2 linked regions of the Coturnix japonica genome follow. The protein of the gene in region 2 interacts with the protein of the main gene of each other region in a biochemical or structural test. Links are inferred from orthologs where the notes say so. Each region holds a gene or a part of one and is shown on either strand. Other genes may lie near its edges.

Evidence for each region. The genes of interacting proteins can lie anywhere in the genome.
Region 1: the proteins of ARHGDIA (region 2) and RDX form a complex in vitro, tested with the Homo sapiens proteins (2 studies listed by BioGRID and IntAct). The link is inferred for Coturnix japonica from reciprocal best matches to the Homo sapiens genes ARHGDIA and RDX.

The regions. Positions count from the first base shown.
Region 1 is NC_029516.1:160,653,371-160,661,258, reverse strand, and holds the start of RDX (radixin), read right to left. Parts: upstream 4,674-7,888; 5' UTR 4,521-4,673; intron 3,501-4,520; exon of another isoform or gene 3,482-3,500; intron 1-3,481. UniProt on the Homo sapiens protein: Probably plays a crucial role in the binding of the barbed end of actin filaments to the plasma membrane.
Region 2 is NC_029533.1:4,448,361-4,455,950, reverse strand, and holds the start of ARHGDIA (rho GDP-dissociation inhibitor 1), read right to left. Parts: upstream 4,627-7,590; 5' UTR 4,509-4,626; intron 1-4,508. Other genes in the region: ALYREF (THO complex subunit 4), read right to left, coding at 4,995-5,009, 5,783-5,960, 6,114-6,177, 6,272-6,419. UniProt on the Homo sapiens protein: Controls Rho proteins homeostasis. Regulates the GDP/GTP exchange reaction of the Rho proteins by inhibiting the dissociation of GDP from them, and the subsequent binding of GTP to them.

The DNA of each region.
Region 1 (7,888 bases), on a different chromosome or scaffold from region 2:
GGGCCTAACCACTCTCCTAGTGAAGAACTTCCCCCTAACATCCAACCTAAATCTTCCCTCTTTTAACTTAAAACCATTTCCCCGTGTCCTGCTATTGTCAGCCCTTTCGAAGAGTTTACTCCCCTCCTGGGTGTAGGTTCCCTTCAGGTATTGAAAGGCTGCAATGAGGTCACCCCGCAACCTTCTCTTCTCTAGGCTGAACAAGCCCAATATAATGAAATAATATAACAAAAATATTTGATGGAAAGAAAGCAAATATCACCACCAGGCAAAACACTGTCATCTCCACTATTATCACGGCAGTAGGAGCTCACTTCTGCCATTTACATGTACCCAATTTACACTTAGTGGACACAATCATTTTGGCTCTCATTGAGCTTTTTGCTCTGATGCAGTTGATGACATGTCCAGTTTTATCATCACCCCTATTCCACACCAGCTCCGTGGTGCTGTGGGTGCAGAGCTGCTGCAGCTCCCCAGGCCTCGAGGCCTTCACGGCACGTGCTGCTGTGATCCATCTCCGCAGTGAGTCACCACAGGGTCAGCTGCCGCGCATCACAACCCAAACAGAAATTCTCTTCAAATGAACAACTGAGATTTCAATTCATTTAACAACATAGCAGCTCCATTTTTTGCAATCATTATCATCCATGTTCCCAGTTATGCCACGGAAGCCAACAAATAAAGCAATTGTTGAGAGACGACAAAGAAAGCTTTATCCAGAAAGCGATGGTGCAGAAAGTGCACGATGCCAAAATTCTGACAGATAATTTATGCAGCAGCTGTTTTCAAAAGGAACATTCATGCACACAGCGCGGGGCAGGGGGCAGGTGAGGAGGGGACAGGGGGCCTGAGATGATGGAAAACGGAGCCTCAGCATCAGCAGGGCCCTGTGTGACAGCGCAGGGCCTACCTCTAGAAGTCACTTCTCAGGGTGCTCCACAGGCTTCGAGCTCTCAGCACCTGCCTGCACATACACAGAATCACAGAATGACCCGGGTTGGAAGGGACCTCCAGGATCATGTAGTTCCAACCCCCCTGCCTGGCAGGGCCACCAAACATACACCTTTACTAGATCAGGTTGCCCAGGGCCCTGTCCAACATTGGTCTTGAAGCACTCAAGGACGGGCATCCAACTCCCTGGGCAGACTGTTCAGGGCCTAACCATCTCTAGTGAAGACTTCCCTATACATCCACTAACTTTCCCTCTTTTACACTTAAATACCATTTCCCCGTGTCTGCCTATTGTAGCTTTCGAAGAGTTTACCCTCCGGGAGTAAGTTCCCTTCAGGTAATTGAAAGGTGCAATGGCGGTCACCGCCACCTTTCTCTTCTCCAGGCTGAACAATCCAACTTCCTCAGCCTGTTCTATTAGGGGGGAAGGTGTCCAGCCTGATCATGCTTCGTTGGCCCCTCTCTGGACCTTTCCATAAATCTCATGTATTTTTGTACTGAGGGGTCCACAACGGTACACAGGTACTCCAGAGGGGCTCACAGAGTGAGTAGAGAGAGACATACAGATGGCAGGAACCACAGAGTTTCAGCCCACAAACAGCAGCTCACCATTTATAGGAACTTGTTTATCATAAACACACTTTTTCTTTGCAGTCTTGAAGCATTGCAATTGTTGTGATCTCCAACAGCTTTACGTGCAGCAATAGGAAACTTACAGGCCACCGTACTCACCCGCTTGGCCTCAGCTTTCTGCCAAAGCCTCTGTTCTAGCATAGCCTATGGGCACTAACCTTCACGATGTAACATCCTTGAACACACTGGTGAGGTCCAATAAAGCTGTGGGCATTCACACAGGCCTGTATCTATGTGCACCTGTCAGTCAAGTAAGGAGACACCTACACAACTGTCTGAATTGCAGGCAGACCACAGTGAAACCAGGACAAGCAACGCTCCAGGAATAGGAATAAAATGAAAAATCTACATTCTGTAAATAAAACATCATAACAATTTTAAAAAAGAAGAGATGTGACTAGTGCCAGATACTACAGAGTTCTACATAGCAATACTTGGAGTATCGTACCTTAACCTCCTCAAAAGAACACCATTTCCCTACTCCCACCATACCTGACTTGCTGATTGTCCGAATATAGTTCCTATATAACCAGGACAATTGTTCTGCTTTAAACATATTCAAGCAGACCATTTGGAAGATGCAGCTGCTTTCTTTTCTTCCCAAAACCAACTTGGGAGAAAAATTACAAGAACTTCAGAAGTACTAATGAGAACTGGGCAGCAGCCAGCACAGTAGTTAAACAGACAGGAACACGGAACAGCCAAATGAGTTTATGCAACGTTGAAGTTAGTGGCAGATGTGTTAAACAACTCACATATTAAGCTTAATAAATATAAACTGTCATCTTAACTTCAGTTTTTTGCTTAAGGCACCCAGTCAACATCTCGATGCGTTCTACAACAACACCACACAGACTTGCCATGCAGTCTTCCCTATGTATGTTGGATACAGAAGTAAAAAATGGAAATGAAGTGCGACTGACACAAGTACTCTATTGTTTTAAAGGTGAGAAACTTGTCTAGAAATAGGACTAGCAAGGAATGTGGCATAACTGAAACCCTGGGTAAGTCCCATTCAAGAACCAGAGGTTGTGTTTATGAATACATGGTGCAGGTCCCTTTAGGACTAGTTCCATAAAGCACAGGGAAAGCGCCCTCACATACATCACCTCCATACACCTTGAGTTCTTAATCAAAGCGCTCCTTGCTTGAGTCAGTGTAATAACTGAACTACGTGACTTGAAGGTTTCATTTCACAGAGTAATTAATAAACCGAAAGAGAAAGTTATTTAATTCAAAGCAGAGCCAAGAATAAGCCTCGCTGCTAGAGTTACCCAAAGATTCAGCTCTTCAATGCAGAAAACAGTTTCCTGAGGTACCTCCAACTCTGGGAAAAGCTCATGAGACACAACCGGGTGCTGCTTTAATGCACAGTATCTTTGGACAATCAGGTCTTTCTTCACAACTTAGCATAAAGTTTTGGTTACATTTACAAACTTGAAAATCCTCCCTTTCCTCTACACCCACATGCTTTTAAGGCAATACAAAGCGATAGGACGGCTTTGATGTTTTTAACACATCCAATACAAAAGCTGCAAATGCCTTGAACAACTTCCCTTTAACCCCTGCCAACACAAGGGCTCCTTCTTAAAAAGCTGAGCAGCAATTGAAGATCTCCCGAAGAATAAAGCCGAATAAAGCGCGTACTATCCCCACAATGGCTGAAATCACTTCATTTGCTCTATTGACAACGAACTGCTCCCAGAACTTCAATTTTCATTCCTAACCCAACCTCAATCATTACTGCATGGACAGATTCTCACCACAGATGCAGTGAGCTTCTCAGTCCACAGTTCCCTTTGCACACATCTGCAAGGCCGGCAACGCTCCCTACTGTGATGGCAACAGCAAGAGACCAGAGCTCTTTCTGTTCTCCCTCCAGCCACTTCCATACCGTTTCTTTCAGTCAGTACCCAAGGAGAACTCTCTGGACAGCTCCTGACGTGTCACATCGCGTCCCTTTCCACGTGGGTGTTTTTTTTAACGCTGACTACGGTACTTCGGCCCAACCTGAGAGAAGAGCTGTGTCACTTCGGCCACAAAAGCTGGAAACGTGCACCGCCTTTGTGATGCCGCCGCCGGGAGGCCGACTTAATCTGGGCACACCGCCGTTTATTTTTCTCACGCAGCCCCTCTCCTGCTGAATCGATAGCTCAATACAGACGAGACTTAGAACAGCGCCTATCGCTGCCCCGTTACCCACCGCAGCTCCACGCCCCCGCCGACGCAGCGCTGCAGAGCGGAGCCCACGCACCCAGAGCTGCGGCACCGCGCGTGGGCAGCGCCGTGACACATGGCGAGGGGCCGAGCGCGGCGTGGGGACACCTCCGGCTCCTGACTCAGCGTCACACGCACGGAACGAAGCCGAGATCAGACTCTTAACTCCCACAACTCAAAAAGAAAAGTGGCGGGAAGGCTGTGCCCTGAAAAGGCGTAACGCCAAATATTTGGCTGATGGGAAGTGACAGCCCCGCTGCAGCCCACGGCCGGTTCGCTGCTTAGGGAGCCGAAGGAGTCATTTTCCACGCGGGATTGAGAGAAGCGGCGCAGCGCTGCAGGCAGCTCGCTGCCCTCCCCGCTTAAAGCGAAAGGTGAACGGGAAGCGCCCACGGCCCGCGCAGAGCGTGAAGCCGGGCACCAACAAGGCACAAAGGCTCATTGAGAAAACGCCGAGCCGTGACGTCGGCGGCACTCGAGGGACTGCTTCAAGTGTCCATTTGTTGGAAACAATAGACAGCAACAGATGCTCGCGCTCCTTTATGAAGCCATCCCTTATCGCTCCGCACGCAAGCCGCACATGGCCGCGCAGCCATGAATAATGCAGCGGCAGCTCCCGCACCCCGCACCCGGCTCCCTCCGAGGGGCGGCGGGTCGGAGCCCTCACGGCTCGCAATGCCGGCCCGTCTCGAGGCCCGCGCCCCCGCCGAGCTCACCTGGGGCTGCCGCTCCCCCCGGCGTCGGGAGGGGACGAGGCTCGGGAACGGCGACCGAGATGCTCGATGACGGGCGTTTCCCGCCCGCCGCGCAGCTCCCCCTGGCAGCGGGGCAGGTTGCCGCTGCGGGGGCCGCCCGCGCTGCTCGCGGCGGAACGAGTGTCGGAGCGCGGCGGGCGCTGACAGCTCCGCAATATGGCGGCCCAGGCCGCCGTTGCAGATTTTCCCCCTATCAGATTTTGCGGCTCGGGACGCGGCGCGCAGGCGGTGGACAGGAACGCGCGTGGCGCTGGGCGGAGCGAAGTCTGTGCCCGGAGCCCGCGGAGCGGAAGGGAGCTGAGCGGGTTGTGCGGCTCCTCCCCGCAGCCTCAGGGCGCCGCTGGGGGAGGGATGAGTTTGTGAGGGGGGTCGGAAGGAGGCGGGAAATCCCGTATGGGATTATTGCTCTGAGGTCACGGCTTTCGTGCTGATAGAGTGTGATAAAGCTCTTTTTAAAGATATGGAGATTTTTGGAAAGGGTCCAGAGGAGGGCCACAAAGATGATCAGGGGGCTGGAGCACCTCCCCTATGAGGACAGGCTGAGGGAGTTGGGTTTGTTCAGCTGGAGAAGAGAAGGTTGCGAGGTGACATTGCAGCCTTTCAGTACCTGAAGGGAACTTACTCCCAGGAGGGGAGTAAACTCTTCAAAAGGGCTGACAATAGCAGGACACAGGAAATGGTTTTAAGCTAAAAGAGGGAAGATTTAGGTTGGATGTTAGGGGGAAGTTCTTCACTAGGAAGAGTGGTAGGCCTGGAAGACGGCTGCCCAGGGAGGTTGTGGATGCCCCGTCCTTGGAGGTGTTCAAGACCAGGTTGGTTTGGGCCCTGGGCAACCTGATCTAGTAAAGGTGTATGTTTGGTGGCCCTGCCAGGCAGGGGGTTGGAACTACATGATCCTTGAGGTCCCTTCCAACCCGGGTCATTCTGTGATTCTGTGATTTCAAATCTGCATTATCACTTTAGGATATGCCTTATCTCTGGTCCTGTTGCACAAAGAATAATATTCCTCAAACAAACAAACAAAAAAAAAACCAGTCACGTAAATAATAATCTTATCTTACCTCGTTAACAGTATAATGTGGTTTTCTTCTCACTTCGCTTCCTTAACAAGGTGTAAAGTTGCAGTTTGCCTGATAAAGCAGGGCAGTAAAAACAAAAGTGCAGTTAGTGTTTGAACTGTTTAGTCATGAAATTGAAACTACAGAAGGAGCTACGGTCAATAAAGAGCTTTCAGATATCCAGATCAACTTGAATTACAGTTCTTTAAGCGGTGGGTTATAAAGTTACTGATAAGAGCGCTGTAACTGTGAGATATAAAAGTTTATCTCCCAGCAGTAATGCCAACATACAGCGCTTCATTAAAAGTCATATTCTGAGCTTTCAGTGCCCTATCTGAGGAATCAATGCTACAATCAATTCTGACAGGAAAGGCTTCCAAGCCAATGCATCTTATTTCTAGTCTACCTGCAAAGATAGAAAGCATTGGTCAGTGAATACCCAACTGTGAGTAGTTAGATGTCACTTATGTTAATGCTAAATGTGCAATCCAAGGGATGTTTACTGGGCAACACGTTTTGGAAAGGAGAACTGAAAAATAAGTAACCTTGAGGAATTATTATTATTTTTTTTCCATGTTAAATGTTAGGCGGTGCACTTTTACATGTAATTCAATCAAGATTTGTGCCATCAGCTGCATAGAACTGTGGCTCTACCCATATCTCGCCACCAACATGAGAAGTTATACATGGATTTGTCTACAAGTCTGGAACTCAGCCACTCTTTCTGGGAAAGTGTGTGCCTATGACTCAGTACACACATACTTATCTATTAATATGTTTGCAGAAGCAAACCTCACATCATAAAAATATATTGCAGGGTAATTCAGCTGTTACTAATTGTATGGCCTAAAAGCAAATTGTTTAATGTTTTGTTAATATTTGAATATAACGGGGTTTTTTTATCTTAACATGTATCGATAACGTTTCTTTTTTTCAACAACTGTTGCCCCTTAGAGTTTCTGCTGGAAAGAAATGGAACTGAAGGAATTTTGTGGTCGTTAGATGAATCCAATTCATAGAGATTTAAAATACTTGGTTAAATTACAGTAAATGTCTGAAGTAATAGGTTGTACTTTTTATGTCTGATGTTAAGTTTATCTGTCATTTAAAGTTAAATGTATCCAATTCCAGAAAGTACTGAATTTCAGTAAAAATACAAGGATTCCAGTAACTGTGCTGGATATTCCACATTCCCTTTATTGAGTATATTGATGTAGTCTCAGCTTTGATCAAGTTCAAAATGCCAACTGTGGTTTGGTTATGGGAAGAATTTGTCCTTTTTCTAGTGCTAGGAGTCCTGCAGTTTGCAGCACCTCTGCAGACATTTAATATTGATGGCCTCAGCTCCAGGAGGCAAGATATTCCCCTTCACAAGTGTTGTGATGAGGGAGGACAGCCCCGGTCTGCAATAAGTGGGGAAGGTGGAAGAGAGATTTTGCCTCCTCTTCAAGAGCACAGAAAACAGAAAGGACAAACCAGGACTCCAAAGCCTGGTCAGAACGCCTGTAAAACAGTACTTGGGATAATCTGCTAATGAACTGCTGTGTTGGCAGCTAGTTTGGTGTCAAGCGGTTCTGCCTTTTGTTTTAATAGCCTAGCTGAAGAGGCTTAACCTTTAACATTCACAGTGAGACTCTGCTGGCCAGCAGCCACCTTTACTGTTGAAAATCTGCAGAGTCGTTGGCAAAAGGTCTCTCCTGCAGACCAGTAAGTTCCTGCCAGTGAAAGACTTCAGGAAAGAACTGCTTCTCTTAATGGTTGTTGCTACTGCAAGCAGACAGGCTGTACTGTTTAGGACCAGGGTGAGTAAATAGCCTGAAAGCTTTACTAACACCTCACATATGATAACCTAATGACACATCTTTGTTTTCTCATAGGTATTTAGTCTCTGATACAGTGAAGATACTGCAGTGGAGGAAGCCTATCTCAAGGCCGAATTATATATATTATATATATATATCAGGGCCATGTATATAATATATATGATATATATTATATATACATATTATATATATATATATACATATATATAATGAATATGTGTATATATATATATAATATATATATATATTCTGCTCAAGACTGAACGTAATAAATTCACTGTAGAGGAGTGTGCGCATTTAACTGTGTCGGTTATGGCCTTAACAGTTCGTGTTAATCAGTACTTGTATCTCTGAGGTAGTAATTTGCTAACAAATTTTTCATACAAAATATGGATCACCCATTCATTATATTTCATCCATTATTCTAACCACCGTTATCACTGTATGG
Region 2 (7,590 bases):
TAGCTATCTGCTGCATATTGGCATAAACCAGCCATCCCAAAACAGCCCTGACTCCACAGGTCCCTCTCCCACCAGGTTCCCCACTCCAGAGGCACATTGCTGTCAAGGACCTGTGCCCCCCCCAGCCTGCCCTCGGCAGCCAAGATCCCATTTTCAGCCCTTACAAGAGGATTGGGAAAAGTAATCAGCCTCTGTGCTTTGTTCAGCAGCTGCAACAGAGAAATAGCCCACGCCATAGAAAAAAACAACTCCTCCACATGAACAGCTCAGTGATGCTTTCACTTGCAATCAGCTTGAGCCCAGAATAAACCCAGTTCAGTTCTGCTTCTCCATAGTACAACCTGGTGAGGAGAAGAACAGGCCCAGCCCCACCGCTGGCCCAAATGCCAGAAGCCTCAGCTGCAATCTGGAGCTCACAGTTTGTAATTCAATCAGAATCTACAATGGAAGGAGACACCTGGCTCAGCTGACCTCATCCTGATCCTTTCCAAAGATATGTGTCACAGAGCTGGGCAAACACATGGGTTGAAGACCGGTGTGTAGATTGGCACTGCTTTGTAAGCCCCAGAGCACAGTGTAACCAGGAAACACCCAGCTGAGAGCTGGTCCAACAGCCATCAAAACACCAGGAAAAAGTGTCAGTAATTCCTGATGCATCACAAGGAGTGCTGCCCTACGGGTGATCCTACAGCAAACATCAGCTTGGACTGCTCTGAGGGCTTAAAAACACTCAGCTGACAACTTTTGAAAGGCTTCTCAGACAAAATCCTCCACAAATGACGTGCAGATGGATGCAGGTATTCCCGTTATTACCTGGCATTTCCACGTCCCATTCTGCATTCCTGTCTGGAGTCGTGTATCAGCACACATGACTCAGACTGGAAAACTGCATTCTTTGCTCTGCCATCCAGTTTCCAAATAAATCAACACTATGATCTTAATTCTGATCTCCACGTGCCCCCACAGAAGACCAGGATACATCCAGAAATGCTGACTTGTAAAGGAAAACCCAAAGTCTGCAGCACAGGCTATGCTACGTAAGCCAACTGCTATTTGCTCTTCTCCTCTTGGAACTAGCTGACATAACAGCCCTTAACTCAACGACTTCATTCCTACCCAATGTGTCACCCAGACAGGGAGAGAAAAACCTGAGCGCTGGCACTGAGCACACACAGCTCACAGAGCACATTGTGCAGTGACACAAGACAAGTTGTGTCTGCCTCCATCTTGAGCCTGGCGACAGCTGCAAGAGCACAACAGCAGAGGTATGTGTAGATGGTGTTTTTAGCCATAAATATTAGGAATGTTCTGCCAAGGAGACAAATTAGAGTGATATGTTGCACATCTCTGCCTGATGACTATGGCTGATCCAGGGTATGAGAGCGGCCTCCAGCACAGCACCAGGGCTGTAGCTCAATGCTGGCACTGAGATGAGGTGCTGTCAGATCCCGTGTGGGTGAACCCCCAGCCAAACACAAGAGCAAATCTGAGCTGCCCTGGGCTGGCAGCACCTCCCAGGGAGGCTGGGGCACCAACATGGGTGCACAAAGGGTACTTGCAGCGGGCATCAAAACCTGACTGAGCTCTACCAGCAGAAAGGGATTCTCCAGGTCCCTGGCACTGATTGCCATGGAAATTTACATTCAAATCTTATGCCATACATGAGCAACCGAGTAGCTCTCACCCTAGAAAATCCATATCGAAACCAGTCATTTCCTTTAGGCTCCCATCCAAGAAAGCTTCCAGGCTTGAAGGCTCCCAAAAGTGTTCAACAAACACTCACTCAAGCATTTGTTCCAGTGCTTAATCTCATTTTGCCCTCAGTTTCAGCTCCAAGCCAGACTTCACCCCTCCCCTCCCTCCCCCACGAGCACCCCATGGAAGTCCATGGGTGAAAAGTGGCTCTTCAAACTGACCCAAAGTTACCAGAAACAGCAAGCAATGTTCCAAACAGCAGCTCAAGACAGGCTGGGTCTCAGCTCTGCAAGGAAGCACAGGAAAAATGTGCAGCGAGGCCTGGAGGAGCCTCATGGAGCTGGCTGCACCACAGCCCCTCTGCTGCAGTGTTCTGATGGCATCGTGCTCCCACTGCGCCCGGCTGACCCTGCTCCCAGCACACAGCATTGTGCAGCCTCACATCACAGTGCTCAGCTGCTGCCCTGAGTATTCTGCCAGGGAGAAAGGAGGCTCCCAGCAGCATCAGGCTGCTCCGTGCTTCTATAACAATGCATTTCCTACAGCCTAGAATGAGTAGAACAGAGCTGGTCGGGTGCATGCAGGAGGAGCTGTCGTACTGCTAGGCAGAGCAGAGCTGAGGGACTCAACACACTGGAACACTGGGTCGGGCATCCATCTCATGCCATGCCCAACGTCCTGTAGGATCATGGCTCCAGCACATGCTGCTGCAGAGGTGGGGGCAGAGGAACGGGGACCTGAGGCCACAACCCCTTCAGAGGGCTCAGCCTCGTGACTGAAACCTCCCAGAACACCAACCTCCAGCAGCAATGGCACCTTCAGCCCTGAGCCTCACACCCAGGCACCACCCCAAGGCCTCTGCAAGGAATTCCCCCTCAGCAACTTTGAAACCCGGAAGGCACCTGCACACCCTGTGCGGCACCGCCCGAGCCCATGGCTCTGACTGCAGACACACCTGGCTCACAGAACAGTGCAGCTGCTGCCTCTGTGCCACCCTGCACTCAACCACAGGAGAGCACTGCGGCCTCAGGGATGTCCCAGAATGTCTGGAAATGGAAGCTCTGCTGGTTACTGGGGCCTGCAGAAAGCAGCAGAAACCAAATTATTTCCCATCTGCAGATCTGCACTCAGCTGCCTGCGCCGCTTCCTGAAGTCAGCAGTTTCTCCTGAGTTCTCTCAGTATTTTTAGTTCGATACCAAGGAGCGAACAGCAGTGAACACACGAGCCCCACCTTCTGCCAGATAGAAACACTGCTAGGAAAAGAACACCGTTATCAGGCAGGGATGAGCAGTGATTTCTTTACATGCCAGGGCCACGATCCCAAGGTACTTGTGCAGTGACATAAGAGTGGTCAGAGTCTTTACAGATGACCTAATTGGCTTCGGACATCCGTCAGGCCTCAGCTCAGCCACGGACACACACAGCGCCAATTCAAGCAGTCCACACCCTTCCTTTTTTCGCTGCAGCACAAGGGAAAGCTGATGAAGCTGCACAGCAAAGCCACTTGGAATCCAATGTGGCTTTCTGCAAGGTTACTTCCCACACAGGTCGGTTCAACCACCCTGGTTCATCTCAGGGCTGCATAAGCTGCTGTGCTGCAGAAACAGGAAGCAAGAGCTGCTAAAACCAGTTCAAGCAGCACAGACACCCCGTATGATGGCAGCTCGAGGGGCCAGACGTGAGCTTGCCCAGAGCCAGGTCTAATTGCGTGGCAGCAGCAGAGCAGTGACCCCCCCCCAGTGCTGCCTGCAGGCAGGTTTAGCCTCAGGAGCACAGCGCTGGGTGCTCCCACAGCATTGCTGAGCTGCTTTATGAGCATGGAGATCTCCCGCCTTGCCCTAAGGCTGATCCCTGTCACAGCTCCAGGCGTGGGGAGGAGCTGTGGGTCGCACAGCAGCTGCTGCCAGGTGCTCTGCAGCCAGATCCGCAGTTGTGCACCGTGCTGGTGACACTGCCCTGCACTGCACAACACCTGCAGGTATCACCTGCCACGAGCATCACCCGAGAACGAGCAGACAGCTCCCACTGCTTATCGGATTTAAGAAGCCCTTGCAGCCTCGTACTCAAACAAGCTGCACGGTGAGCACTATGCACCTGTAAGTACAACGACTGCAGAGCTACAGCACGACCACACTGCAGGAGCTGCAAATGTCTCCTGGGCACCACGTGGAAGCGGCCGCCACTCAGCATCTCTGGGACAAGAACGGGACCACTGCAAGAGAACCGAGCCCATAGAGCACTATATAGAGCACTACGGCCGGGACCTGAAGCTCTCACAGCGATAATTGAGTGCTACAACCGAGAGCTCTTTAAGAGAAGGAAGTCACGGCTTCACGCAACGCGCCCGCCCAGGCAGGGAAACGGCACCATCCTTCCGGCACGGCCATGAGGCCCCGCAGCCCGGACAGCGCTCACTGCCGCTCCATCCTCCATCCTGCACCCGGTGCTGCACCGACGTCTCGGCTCTAACGCCAAACGAACCCAACCGTGGGGAAGTCGCCTTCAAGTTCCTCCTTTCAAAGCTCGAAACCATTTATGGAGAATCTATTTGAAGCCAGCGGGTCCCCACCCGGCTCCGGTCCGACAGCGGCGGCCGGGGCGGCCTCAAGGCACGAAGGCGCCGCTCTTCGCTCCGCTCCCCGCCGCGCACCCGGACGGCGCCCGCTGCCCCCTCGGCCGCGCCCCGGACCCTGGCGTGGCGCTGAGCCCGCGGGACCCGGCCCGGCCGCAGCGCACATGGCGGATCCCGGCGCCCCCCGCCCCGCTCCCTTGGCCCCGCCCCGCCCGGTCCCGCCGTCCCGGCCGCTCTCACCGTCCGCGCCGCGGTCCAACGCCGCCGGGATCCGCCCAGCCGCCCGCGCACCCCCGCACTTCCGGGACACGCCCGTCACTTCCCGTTATACGAGGGCGTGTCCCGCTCCTCACTTCCTGCCTCGACGCTGCGTTCTGATTGGCTCAGGGAGTACGCGCGCGTTCGCCGCGCAGCGCGGGCGCGGGAAAGGAGCGCGCGGCAGGGAGCAGGCGGAGCTCTAGACACGGTTCTATTTTATTACGGCAAAGGTGAAAAAGCCACCTCGGCCCAACAGGCAACCAGTAAAATTTATCCCAAAAATAACTCGGTACAAAACGGGTCTGGCTTCAGAATTAAAAAAAACCTTTACATGAGTTTAAAACCTATTCCAAAACATAAAAGTAAAACAAATCCCATCCTTGATATTAGTAGCCACAGTCGCACACCCCTCCCGCCACACAGCATGGAATGAGATGTCTGCAGTCCTTCCATGCGCCGCTCAACGCTTTAGCTGGTGTCCATCTGGAAGAGAACAGAGAGGAGCGTCAGCAGCCACCATGACCCCATAACCCACCATGGCCCCATAACCCACCACGGCCCCATAACCCACCATGACCCCACAACCCACCATGGCCCCACAACCCCCCAGCTCCATCCCCAACCCTGACACCCCCCAGCCCTGCCTGCCAACCCCAGGATGCTGCTGCCTCAATGGCGGAGATGCAGCCCAATCCACAGCACACACTGAGCAGACCTAAACTGCACCTCAGTGCTTGGGCCAAGTCCCTGCATCACTTCTTAACTGATTCTCAGTTAAGACTTTAGTCTTGTTGTGGCACAATATCTGAGCTCATTCTGAATGAAAGAAACCATGTGCACTGCTCTGCTCATCCACCTGCATTAGGGGTGATCAGCATCATTGACTTTTTTTCCTTTCTTAGCACCAAGCTGGTTATTTTATGTGTTTTTTCTTTTTGCTTTTCATTTTTCCAGCCTATTATCCCTTTGGGCTTTGGTTCATAGCTTTCGTTCATCACACATCTTGATTACTGCCAATTCTGGTTGACACAGGCTTCAACAAGCCAGGAGAAGTTGGAAAAGGGGCTATTTATTACTCATGAGTAACAGTAGATGTGGAGAGCTAAGGCAGCTGAAGGAACAGGGCAATGCTCAGCTTTAGAGGGAGGCTATTTAAGTCAAATGACCTGAAAAACAATTTCTCTTTCCAGCCAGCTGCCAGTGTTTATCAAAAGGACGCTGTAGGTACCCGTGACCATCATGTGAGCAGCACTTACCCTGGCATTGTAAGCATCCAGCTGTGCATCTAGTTCTTCTGCAGAGAGCTGCTGTTTGGAAGTTCTTCCAGCCCCTCTGCCTCTCCCTCTGCTCCCACCACGACTACCTCGCCTGGTACCTCCACCACCAAATCCTCCTGTACCACCACGGTTTCTGGTCATTCCACCTCTGTTTACACTGTGATTTTTAAAAAGCAACTGTTATAGTGCATTCTGGTTAACCCCAACAGGCACTCAGAAGGTTGCAGGACACGAGGAGGATTCCATGCTTCCTACACAGGCCAGTTCACTCCCCGTGCTGACTGGCACAGCGACTCCCGCGGCTTCTCACCTCTGTGCTGGTCTCCTCTGTGTATCTATCTGTGATGTAACCAGCTGAATGTTCATGGGGCGCCCTGCAGGAAAAGCAGCCAGTTACCCTGTGAGTGTGGCAGGCACACAGATGCCATCAGCCGTGCAGAGAAGCACACGACAGCCACAGAGACTCACCATCCAAGGGGACTCCATTGTACTGCTTCATAGCTTTCAGAGCATCTGCTTTCCTTTCAAAATGCACATCTGCTGTTCCTAGACTGCGTCCGGATCTGTCGTAGTGCACTGCTGCCTTCTTCAAGGTCCCAAATTCCGCAAAGAGTTCCTGAGAAACAGAGGGAGAAGTGAATATGCTTCAGTCAGCTCTGCAAACACCGAGCAGCCCAGAGAAGGTGCAGGCAGCTCCTGCTTTCAGCAATATCATGTACATTCCATGACACCACGCAAATAGCACCAGTGAAAGAAGGAACACAGGCCACTAAAGACTTCCAGAAAGCAGCCACAGGTGGCAGAAACAAACAGGATTTCATATCCACCACTTGAAGGGTGCTTGTATACAGCCAACAAAGTGGCCCCAAGGTATGCTGACCTGCTCCTCTTCCCAGGGACATTGCCAGTCTGTATAAACTGAAAGCAGGAAATCTTCTACTGAAGAGCATCGTTTACCATCACGAGCGATGGAAGGCTGCAACAGTGGAGCCACCCATTTTGTTTCACAGAGGCTACATCTAAGATGTACATCTGGGGACATCTCACTACTTTGCAAGTTTATACCTACACCCCACTCTTCAAATGTTTGAAGCACACAGAATTGTCAGGTGTCCAAAGCAGACACCACAGGCTGCCTTCCATATCACCTGCAGCAGAGCCCAAACACTATTCCAGCCATCTCTATAATTCCTATCCAAGCATTTGAAAGGAGCATATAAATATTTTCACTTCTTAAGCCAGCTGCACTTTATGCAAGCCTGTCAGTGAGTTTCTCTACTGTGTCCATTTACTAAACATGAACATACAGCACCCAACAAGCTTTCTGGAAGACAGCACCACATGGGAGGAGAGGTGCTCCATCACATCCCTGTCCTGCAGAGAAGCTGGAGCCACAGCACCACACATACTCCTACAAGAGCAACGTGAACGAGGCTCCCACCAAGCCCCTCATTCCTCAGCACTGAGCTGAGCAGAACCATATTAATGACACAATCAGCACAGAAACAAAGAAAACAATCAGTGCAGCTTAGTGGAAAATTACGGGATGGGCAGTAACAAAGAGGTACAAACCCATTAAGTCAGCTTTGCTGCTACATATAATATACACAGATGTTTGTCTGCTCCTGCAGTTCAAGCCAACTGTGAAAAGGAAACATTCAACTGCCACACAAAACACATTAATTCCTTACATTGAGATAACTTTACAGATTCACTTTTACACGTTTGGGCCTGATTACAGCAAACAGGAAATGTATATCAACTGAAACTAAACTCACTTGAGGAAA